Canis lupus familiaris: one gene and its partner. The protein of the gene in region 2 interacts with the protein of the main gene of each other region in a biochemical or structural test. Links are inferred from orthologs where the notes say so. Each region holds a gene or a part of one and is shown on either strand. Other genes may lie near its edges.

Region 1 (5,379 bases), on a different chromosome or scaffold from region 2:
GGTGCCCGTGGTGTTGCTTGTGCTGTTGCTCGTGGTTGGGTGAATGGTGGTGTTTCTGTGCCCCGGGGTTGTCGGGGCCTGGTGAGTGGTGGTGTTGGGCGCATGGCTGGTGGTCTCCGCGGTGGTGGTGCTGTGGCTGGTGGTCCCAGGGCTTCCTGTGCTCTCTGTAGCCGTAGGGGTCACCGTGAAGGAGGGCAGCAGGGTGGCCGACTTTTTATGGGGACAGTCGCTCCGGGTCCCCTGGGCTTGGAGCAGAGGGGAGGGTTGGTTAGCAATGGGGCAGTGTCCCCCTGAGCCCCTTCCCCTCGGGCCCCCCCTTACCTGCTAGCAGCCCCACCAAGGCCCCCAAGAAAAACACGGCTGGCCTCATAACCGATCGGCCTCACCCCAGTCGGTGCGGGACGGTGTGTTCAACACCAGCCTGTAGCCTCTGCCTTCTTTTGGAAGAGGAATTAAGTGTCTGACTTCCTGTGGCAGCCCAGTCCACCCCCAGCCTGACTCAGGCACCTCAGCCCCAGCCACCAATCACTTAGTCATTGAACCCGTCACCAAGTGAGGGGATGGGTCACCAGCCTCAATATCACAGGTAGATGCGGAGTTTGGGGACAGTTGGTCCTTGCGGACCTACTTGTCTACTTCAGCCTGTTTGGTGGGCCGGAGGGGTTACAGAACCAGCGGGGAACAGCACCCCACCCCTTGCTTATGTCCTCCAGTTCTAGGGGTTAAGTGTTTCTATTCCCTCTTTTCCATTTGTCACTTCCTCTTGACAGAACATGTGAGGCACTTATGATGGTGCTTGCGTCTTGGCCTTTAGAGTGGGTCACTAGCCAACAAATGCTACCCCACTAGCGGGTCAGCAGGGAGAGGATAACAAAAAAAGGAAACCCAAGGGAAACTTGAGGGACTATGAACTGGGGGTGGAGTGGTGGCCCCAGCCAGGGAGGCCCTGGGACACAGGTGGGAGGGAAGGGGAGGCAAGAAATGAGAAGCCCAAACAGGCAGTTTCCAAGTCATTTTATTCAGAATTTTGTGTTTGTTTTCTGAATCAATAAATACTATACAAAACAATGTAAAAATGGCTACCACTTTTTCTCCCCTGCTCCCCCCCACCTGGGGACAATCCTCTGGGCCATTTAACTCTGGGATTCTCCAGATTTGGTCCAGCAAATGAGGTTGAGTGACACTATGGCCCCTGGCAGCCTCTGAAGAGGCACGTAGCTGGGGTGGGGGAGAGCCTCTGGGGTTTGGAGGTTGACTAGGTTACGGAGATGGATTAGTGTTTTTGGGAGAAGAGACGGCGCCTGGAGCAAGAGCCTGCCCCAAAGAAAAGGGTGTCTAAAATGTTCACGTTCCTTCTTTTGCCTCAAAAAGTGACATTTATTCAAAGAAAAAAAAAAGGAAAAAAATGACAAGATGTCCATCCCTTGGCTCCCTTCCCTCCCCCCTCCTGCTCTTCTGCCCCCCCCAGACTGAGGCCAGGGTCAGGCTAGGTAGCAGGACCACCCCTCAGATGAGGTCAGCAACATTGAGGGGCATTTCCTCAATGGAGGTGTTGTAGAAAGTCTCGATGTCTCGAAGAGTCCTCTTGTCTTCTTCTGTCACCATGTTAATAGCCACACCCTTCCGGCCAAATCGTCCACCACGGCCGATTCTGGTGAGAATAGGACAGGTTCAGTCTGGCTCAGGATGGGGGCAGGACAGAGCCTGAGCTCAGGGCTGGGGGAGGGAACATTTTAGATCTGCACTTACCTGTGGATATAGTTTTCCCTGTTGGTAGGAAGGTCATAGTTGATGACTAGAGACACCTGCTGCACATCGATGCCTCTGGCCTGGGTCGGGAGAGGACAGGTCAGCAGGAGGAAGGGTGGGGGACCAGTGCGCGTAGCAGGGACCGCTGTGTGTGTAGGCAGCCAAAGGGAAGGCAAAGGAAACAGCAGCCCCTCTTCCCAGCACCCTGAGGCATGTCACATTTTATTCCAAGTTGCTACTTTCCTGAGGGGGGCACAAGCAAGCCCCCTGGAGAGGGAATCAGCTTGGGTCCTCCCTCCTTCCCAGGGTTCTCCATTCCCTACTCACCAGCAAGTCAGTGGTAATCAGTACTCTGCTAGAGCCCGAGCGGAACTCCCTCATGATAACATCTCGCTCCTTCTGGTCCATGTCTCCGTGCTATAGTGGGGACCAGAGGGGAGGGCGCGTGTCACAGGCGCACAGGCTCGGAGGCCCAGGCACACGGGCACTACGGGGAACAAGGGAGAGAACGCACCATGGCAGACACGGTGAAGTCTCGGGCGTGCATCTTCTCGGTGAGCCAATCCACCTTCCTTCGGGTGTTGATGAAAATGACTGCCTGTGTGATGGTCAGAGTCTCGTACAAGTCACACAGCGTGTCCAGCTTCCACTCCTGGGAGGGGGAAGGAGATCAGTGAGGGGCTCTACCCAGGGATGTACAGCCAGGCAAGCCCCCCCCTGCACCGGGCCCCACCTCTCGCTCCACGTTGATGTAGAACTGGCGGATGCCCTCGAGGGTCAACTCTTCTTTCTTGACCAGAATCCGAATGGGGTCCCTCATGAACTTCTTGGTCACCTCAAGCACGTCAGAAGGCATCGTGGCAGACAGCAAAACCACCTAATGGGAAAGAGCAGCCTTGGGGTAGGGGATCCTCCAGGCTGGCCCCCCCTCCCCTAGCAAGCAAGTAAGTTGTCGCCTAATGCAGAAGCTAGGGCATGAAAAGGCTTGAGGCCCCCGGATTCTTTGTGGCTCCTGCAGCATGTGCTGCTGCTGTGACCCCCACCACACAGCCACCTACAAAGGAAACCTTGACCGCCCACTAGAGTCTGTGAACCCCTTTCTCACCTGGGTGTTGCTGTTGAGCTTTTGGAATATGTCATAGATCTGGTCCTTGAATCCACGGCTTAACATCTCATCAGCTTCGTCCAGTACAAACATCTTGATATATTTGGGAGCTACAAGAGGAGAAAACCCCAATGGACAGTAGTGAGGGAACCAGGAAACCAAACTTCAAGTTCCTGATCGAGAACACTAAGGAACAAGAGATCTGCTCTCAGGATACGAAGGCTGATCCTTTGCCAAGACTCCCACACGAGGCCAGCTGACAGGCCAGGGAAGTAGAACACTCCCCGGGGCTGAGGACGGGGAAGCCAGGCTCAGATGACACGCATGGGCTCATCACAGAGCAACTCTTTCCCAGGTGCATGCTAGCCCGTCAGAGGAGGACACTGCGAAGGGGGGGGGGGGGGGGGGAAGGCACGAGTGGGAGGGTTAAAGAGGACAGCCAGACTCACATAGGTATCTCCGGTTCAGCATGTCAAACACACGACCCGGGGTGCCCACGATGATATGAGGAGCCTCCATCTGAAGCTTCTGCACCTCAGCACGTACATTGGTCCCCCCAATGCAGGCATGGCAGGAAGCACCCATGTAATCTCCTAATGCCATGACTACCTTCTGTATCTGGACTCAGAAAAAAAAAAATGTACCCAATTATGAGCTATGATCAAGGCAGGTCCCGTTTAAGATGCTTCTAGTAAAATAAAAAATAAGTAAGTAAATAAATAAATAAAATGCTTCTAGTGTTCTCTCCAACTCAGACGTGCACCATTAAACTCACTTTTCAGACAAGAAACAGGCAGATACTTCACTTAAGATCACACTGCCAGTAAGTGGCAGGCTCAGGATTTGAGCTTGGTCTGGCTCCTAAGAATACAAGGATTCACACTAACAGCCCTTTCTAAAAGCCATGACGACCCATTGATTTGATCTCACTCCAACTAGTTTTATGAATGGAAGGCCATCTACCCGTGTCCTACTGAACTCCTGCCACAGAACCTGTGCTAGGTGACACGTTCGCTTTTTTTATTTTTTTTATTTTTTATTTTTTTAAGATTTTTTTTTTTATTTATTTATTCATGATAGTCACAGAGAGAGAGAGAGAGAGAGAAGCAGAGCGAGAAGCAGGCTCCATGCACCGGGAGTCCGATGTGGGATTCGATCCCGGGTCTCCAGGATCGCGCCCTGGGCCAAAGGCAGGCGCCAAACCGCTGCGCCACCCAGGGATCCCCGTTCGCTTTTTTTAAAAGAGCATGTTCTGCACATACATTAAGGCCCTACTGAATTCTTCCAGAACTCTTCACTTACAGTACCTTACCTCAATTCACCGATAAGCATAGAATCATCCTAAACTCACCATAAAACTAATATCCTACTTATGAGACTAGCATTTCTGACCCTTTCTCCACCAAGACCCAAGAAAGGTCTCATTAAAATTTTATGTGCCCTAGGCATGAAACAGCTCTGGCCACCAATCCAGGCATCAAGCTAGGATGAACACAGGACTGCCCGTCTGCTTTGCCCCTGGCTGATATAAGAGCACCACCACCACCAAGGTGTCTCTTTGCCCATTGCCAGGGGGTTTGTTCATAAAACAGCCACCAAACTTGCCCAGCCAGCCAGGCTCCACCTTGCAACCTTTTCATTTGACTCAGGAAATGGGTGGAGAAAATAATGCTTATTGTGTTTGGGTAGGAAAGACCTCGTAATTAATCCTAACAAGCTCTCAAACATCCGGAAGTCCTCAACTTATTTCTTTACACAGTCCCCACCCCCCCAACCATTCAGTTCTTAAATAGATAGTGGTCCTGAGGAACACACATCTATGCTTTTTTTAAGGACCACATTTCTAAAGCAGTCCTTCAGGGGAGGAACAAAAAAGCCTACATACTCACCTGCTGAGCCAACTCCCTAGTGGGTGCCAGGACCAAGGCCTGTGTAGCCTTTAGATCCAATTCAATTTGTTGCAGAATCGATATGGCAAAAGTGGCTGTTTTCCCAGTCCCAGATTGGGCTTGAGCGATCACATCATAACCTAAATAGATCGAGAAAAACAAGACATGAGAATACATACATTTCAGAGTCATGAGATGTTCAAGGCTTTACTTTACCCACAAGAAGCCGATGGAGCCATGTGCCAAGCATGACGTGCTCCACAGACTTTACCCCATGACAACAGAGTGCCCACACAGAACATTAACTCATTCAGTACTGCACAAAGCTCAGAAACAGGTACCAGCAGAAATCAAACCAGCCATGCATGTGGCCAGGGCATGAACACAGACCAAAAGCCAAGCCTGGATAAACAAGGAGTTGCTCGGTCCCCGACTGATAGGAGACAGGCACCAACCAGATACCACTGTACCCAGTTTAGGGACAGCCCAGAACCTGTCCTGGGACAGGAGGCTTACCCTTGATACAAGGAAGAATGGCTCGCTGCTGGATGGCAGAAGGCTTCTCGAAACCATAAGCATAGATGCCACGGAGAAGGGACTCGGAGAGGTTCATGTCATCAAAGCTGTCAACAATCT
Region 2 (5,711 bases):
AGTTTGCTAAGTGTGCAAGGCCAGGAAAAAGTGTGGTAGGAGATATAGTAAAAGAGACACAGCCTCAGATCAGGTTTAGAAGAGCTTTGTTGAGAGGACTGGGTGGCTCAGTGGTTGAGTGTCTGCCTTTGGCTCAGGGTGTGATCCTGAGGTCCCAGGATTGAGTCCCACATCGGGCTCCCCGCATGGAGCCTGCTTTTCCCTCTGCCTGTGTCTCTGCCTCTCCCCACCCTGTGTCTCTCATGAATAAATAAGATCTTTAAAAAAATAGAAGAGCTTTGTTCTAAGATATTGACAGTATCAGTGGAGACCACTGAATAAGAGCAGGGAAGTCACATCAGTTATCTGGGTAAGGAAGCTCACCATGGAGTCTGGGAGACCAGGCAAAGGAAACAGATACCTGAACTAGTGCATTAGAAATGGGGAAGGGCAGAAGAAAGATTTTTTTAAAGATAAAATTAAAAAAAAAAAAGTAAAATCAATAGGACTTGAATTTGATGCAAATACCAAGAGGACCTAGTGACTGATTAGAGGTAGTACATGGATGGGAAGGAATGTAGGATGAATCCTAGGTTTTCAGGTTGGGCACTACTCATTAAAAAAGAATACAGGGGGATGCCTGGGTAGCTCAGTGGTTGAGCATCTGCCTTCGGCTCAGGGTGTGATCCTGGGGTCCTGGGATTGAGTCCCACATTGGGCCCCCTACAAGGAGCCTGATTCTCCCTCTATGTCTCTGCCTCTCTCTGTGAATCTCTGATAAATAAATAAATAAAATCTTAAAAAAGAATACATGGGCACTAACATGTACAAAGTTGCAGTGAAGGACCGTTGAGTAAGGAGAGATGACAGGTTCCTGTGTGGGCATACACAACTTGAGATGCCGGTGGGATGATCCGGTGGAGTGGTACCTTGTTGTAACTGGAGTTCGAGAGATAGGTTTCAGGTTAGGAACAGATTGGCAGGTGGGCAGTAATTGATTTTTATATATTAGCTTGCTTAGGGAGAAAGAAATGAGAAGAGTAGTCACAGAATGAAGAGTCAGAGAACGCTAGATCTGCATTTTCACTCACTATGATTCCTCCTGCATGAATTTATTTTGCTGTCCTTTGGAGCTCCAGGTCCTCATATACAGCGGTAAGAACAACACAATTTTTAAGAGATTTTATTTATTCACTCATGAGAGTGAATAATTCACTCATGCCTCTCTCTCTCTCTCTGTCTCTTGTGAATAAATAAGAGGCAGAGACACAGGCAGAGGGAGAAGCAGGCTCCCTGCAAGGAACCCGATGTGGGATTCGATCCCAGGACAGGAGGATCACCGCCTGAGCCAAAGGCAGACACTCAACCACTGAGCCACTCAGGTGCTCCAATGCAATCTGTTTTTATAGAAAATTGTGAAGATTGAGATCACATAGGTCATATATATTAATTGACCACATTATCATTGGTACAGAGAAAATGTTTTCTTCTGAGATTGTATGTGTGCACATACACACATGCACACCCACAGATCGTGCACAAGAGTGTCTTTGCCACGTATGTAAGCACATAGGCACCGTTTCGAGCCCTTTTCACATAAATTAACTCTAATCTTCACAATCCAATAGTGTGGATGTTATTGTGAGAGAAAGCACCGCGGTTAAAAGCTCGGACTTGAGCCAGACTGCCTGGTTTCCAGCCTTCCCATTTTACAAGAATAGGTAATAGTAGGTAGTAAGTGACCTGGCCAGGAAGTAGGGTTTGGATTAAAACCTCGGATATCTGAGTACCTGGATTTGGCTCTAGGGCGATTCCTCCGGGTGCCAAAAGTCTTTTGGCTGCAGGGCAGGAATTTTGGGATTACTTCTTCCTTCGTTATTCTGAATTTTCCGTGACTGACTTCTGTCCCTCCCTGGGAGTGGCTGATCTCTGTAAAGCAAAAGATCGACTCTTAACTAGTTCCTTAAAATGTTTCAATCCTTTTTAGCCTCGCATTCAACTTAGTAAGTATTTCAATCGCTTTATTTTCAAAGGCTGCCCAGTGTGTACTTCTTTGCGCATTTGTATCGTGACTTATTTAGGCAGGACCGAGTAACAAATCTCGGCATTCTCAGCACGCCCTCCCTCCCCCGCCAGCACCTCGCCTGGTACTTAGCATGCACTCAATAAATGCCCGTTCAAAGAATGAATGAACTAAAAGAACCGCGGAATAGAGACGCAGAGGGGGGTCGGTCTGGAAGTTCCAAAGTTCGGGAGGGGACAAGGGGGCGGGCAGCGGCTGTCACGTGACGGGGCTGGGCGAGCGGGCCGTACTCCGCGGCGCCGGGCGCGGCTCCGCCCCCTGCGCCGGTCACGTGGGGGCGCCGGCTGCGCCTGCGGAGAAGCGGTGGCCGCCGAGCGGGATCTGTGCGGGGAGCCGGAAATGGTTGTGGACTACGTCTGTGCGGCTGCGTGGGGCTCGGCCGCGCGGACTGAAGGAGACTGAAGGTAAAGCCGCCATGTCCGGGCCCGACCCGGCCCCCCCACCCCCTCCCCCCGCATCCGCCGCCATCCGGGCCGGGACCGGCCACCCTGCGCCGCCGCCCCGGCGCCCTGGCCCCGCGGCCCAAGCCCGGGCCCCGGCCCGCCAGGGCCCGATCCCTGGCCCACGTGTGCCCGGCCTGGCCCGGCCTGGCTGCTGGGTGGGGGTGGGGGAGCGCGGGGCCGGAATGTGCGGTCCCCGCGGGCTGCTGGGGCGCCGGGTTCGCCGGCCGCGAGGTGCCACCCCGGCCTGACCCGAGGGGGCCCCGCGGGCGCAGGCACCGCGGCTCCCGGCCCACCGCCCCCTCCCCCCTTTGCGGCCCGGCCGCCGGGAAGTGACACGTTGTTCTTTGGCACTGGCCGGCGCTGCGCAGGGAGGGCGCAGGGGAGGGAGGCGGCAGCGGCGGGCAGGGAGGAGCCCCCGGCCCCGCCCGCCCTCCGGGCCGACCCTCGCTTGCTAGGAACCGGCTTCTCTTCGGCCGCCGCCCGCCTGGCCTTTTAGGGCCCGACTCCCGCCCTTCCTGGCCTCCAGTCCTGGGCGGCGGCAGGCCTCGCGACCGGCCCCGTGCGGGCGCCCCCGCGGCCACCCGCAGCAGGCGTGCCTTGTGTGCCCCCGGGCCTGGCCCCGAACCCGGTGTCCCCAGGTGGGGGGTGGGGACACCACGGCCGAAGCTGCTAGCTCCGTTTGTGATCCGGGAGCCTGGTGCCAGCGAGACCTGGAATTTCCGGTCTGGTTGGTCTTGGGCCCCGCGGAGCCAGGTTGATACCCCTCACCTCCCAACCCCAGGCCCTCGGATGCCCAGAACCTGTAGGCCGCACCGTGGACTTATTCTTAACCGAGGGGGTGAGTGAGGGGGCTGTTTGAGCAGACCAGGGGGGTGGTTGGAGGTGATGCGGGTTTGACAACGTGTTGGTGGGGACGTAAGCTGGATCTTTTCTGCTCCTTCACCCCGGTCGCACCTCCGAGACTCGGTGTGGGACCCAGCCCTTGGTTCAACCCTTCCCCCACTCCGCTTGCCTTCAGCTTGGGTCCCTTCCCCTTTCCGAGCTCCACTCTTTCCCAACAGGTGCTGGGGGGACCCTGATGTGGCACCAAATGAAATGAACAAAGCTCCACAGCCCACAGGCCCCCCACCTGCCCCATCCCCTGGACTCCCACAGGTAATTAGGGAGGAATTAGCAGAGACTGGGGTGGGGGTGGGGGAGATCAGGCAGCTGGTCAGGAACAGGTTCCAACCTCTGGATTTTCCCACCCCCATCTGTGTCAGGGCAAAGTGCAGCTTCCTGCTGCCAAATTGAGACAGGGCCCCTGGGCTGTTCCCAGGGGCTGTCATGGGGAAGAGGGGGCATGTGGACTGCTGAAGCTCTTGCCACAGGTCTGCTCCCCTTACTTTACCAGCTTAGGTTTCTGCCCCACCCGGGTTTCCCCTCTTGCTGAACTCTGGTCTCCCCCCTTCAGCCTGCGTTTCCCCCGGGGCAGACAGCACCGGTGGTGTTCAGTACGCCACAAGCGACACAAATGAACACGCCTTCTCAGCCCCGCCAGGTGAGGGGCTCTGGGGAGGGGAGTAGGGGGCCTGGGTGGGAGCCATGGAAAGGTTAGGCCAGTTCGGGCCGAGGATGGAAACTGTGGAGGCCCTGTACCTGCCCCAATTTCCTGACAGTTGCTCTGTGTTCTTTCATGCGGCTCTGCACTTTGTGCTGTTGATTACTTACGGTGGCTGGCCCCTTGGGGAGTATGTAGTCGGTGGGGGTGGCATTACTAGGGGTCCTGGTGCCTTGAGAATTGGGAGCAGCGCTTCGGGCCCTGCTGCCAACTCCTGTTCCTATTTCCTCCTTTTCCTGGGAGGTTGTGATTGCTCCGCTCCGCTCCCCTTCCCTTCTTTCTCTTTGGACTGTGGCGAGATAAACACTCCATCTGGTTCTTGCCTTTCTCTGTTCCCTAAATTCTTCCTCACTAAGTGGGGACATTCTTGTCCTACTTCCTTCATTGTTTTCTCTCTCATCACCTTGGGGATAATTCTCTTCTCTCCTGTCCCCATGTGCTCTCAGGGAGGATTCAGGTCTCTGCAGGTAATACCCCTTTGCTAATTCTGGACCCTCTCACGGTCTCACCCTTCACCTCTACCCTAGTCAAGGGCTAGACACAGGGACTGGGGGGTCTTCAGGGTGGGGACATGTTTGCTGTTAAGGTTCTCAGTCTGACACTGACTGATGCATGCTAGAGGCTAGATCTTGCAGATTGCAAATCTGGGAACTGGGAGACTGTTGCATGTTAGTGGTTAGCTCCTCTGTACCTTAGGGTGGAGCAATGCATGCTGGGGAGTATGTTGCTCAAAAGGGCTTTACTTGGGCATGATGCATCTGGGTGTTAGGAAGCCTTTGCAGAGGGGTAGCCTGGTAGAGGTGACATGAGTATTCACGGTAGTGAGGGAGTAAATATTCGTGGAGTGCAAAGCGCATACCTCAGTGTGGAGGGTATGTGTGAGTACAAGAGGCCACCTAACCATCAGTTTGGTTAAGTGGGTGAGGATTGGCCCCCGTGCTCCAAAGCCCCCAGTATTTTTCTCCAGACTAGAGACATGGCGGAGTGGCCATTTTGGATGTCCACTTCCTCCCTTTCCCAACGCCAACTGCCTTCCTCCCTCTTGACAGCACTTCTACCCTAGCCGGGCCCAGCCCCCGAGCAGTGCAGCCACCCGAGTGCAGAGTGCAGCCCCCGCCCGCCCTGGCCCAGCTGCCCATGTCTACCCTGCTGGATCCCAAGTAATGATGATCCCTTCCCAGATCTCCTACTCAGCCTCCCAAGGGGCCTACTACATCCCTGGACAGGTGAGGTTGGAGGCTTGGGGGCTGGAAGCCATGGAACCTTTAAACCTCAATCCTCCTCTCCCTTTACCCTGATCCTCCAGTCCCATCTCTTCTCCAGAGGTGGGACTTCTTCTGGTCATTGCCCACAGTTGGCTTGTCCTGTCTTGCTCTGCATTCTCTTTGGCCTGATAGGGTACTCATAGCTCCCTCAACTCCTCTCCCCTCCTCTTCCCCCTTCCCCACCAGGGGCGTTCCACATATGTTGTCCCGACACAGCAGTATCCTGTACAGCCAGGAGCCCCAGGCTTCTATCCGAGTGCAAGCCCTACAGAGTTTGGGACTTACGGTAAGCAGGGGAAGGAGTCAGGTGAGAGTGAGTCCCAGGGAGCACCTAAACTCAC

The links.
Region 1: the proteins of EIF4G1 (region 2) and EIF4A1 form a complex in vitro, tested with the Homo sapiens proteins (3 studies listed by IntAct, with this or other methods). The link is inferred for Canis lupus familiaris from reciprocal best matches to the Homo sapiens genes EIF4G1 and EIF4A1.

What each region holds. Positions count from the first base shown.
Region 1 is NC_049226.1:32,704,772-32,710,150, reverse strand, and holds the end of EIF4A1 (eukaryotic initiation factor 4A-I), read right to left. Parts: coding exon 5,260-5,379; intron 5,228-5,259; exon of another isoform or gene 5,107-5,227; intron 4,884-5,106; coding exon 4,744-4,883; intron 4,432-4,743; exon of another isoform or gene 4,287-4,431; intron 3,473-4,286; coding exon 3,304-3,472; intron 3,197-3,303; exon of another isoform or gene 3,059-3,196; intron 2,965-3,058; coding exon 2,855-2,964; intron 2,627-2,854; coding exon 2,483-2,626; intron 2,402-2,482; coding exon 2,264-2,401; intron 2,167-2,263; coding exon 2,077-2,166; intron 2,040-2,076; exon of another isoform or gene 1,899-2,039; intron 1,830-1,898; coding exon 1,750-1,829; intron 1,652-1,749; coding exon 1,507-1,651; 3' UTR 999-1,506; downstream 1-998. Other genes in the region: CD68 (macrosialin), read right to left, coding at 1-245, 322-370. UniProt on the Homo sapiens protein: ATP-dependent RNA helicase which is a subunit of the eIF4F complex involved in cap recognition and is required for mRNA binding to ribosome.
Region 2 is NC_049255.1:17,362,307-17,368,017, forward strand, and holds the start of EIF4G1 (eukaryotic translation initiation factor 4 gamma 1), read left to right. Parts: upstream 1-2,320; 5' UTR 2,321-2,466; intron 2,467-3,286; 5' UTR 3,287-3,343; intron 3,344-3,566; 5' UTR 3,567-3,600; coding exon 3,601-3,660; intron 3,661-3,898; exon of another isoform or gene 3,899-3,958; coding exon 3,959-4,045; intron 4,046-4,551; coding exon 4,552-4,572; intron 4,573-5,154; coding exon 5,155-5,331; intron 5,332-5,556; coding exon 5,557-5,656; intron 5,657-5,711.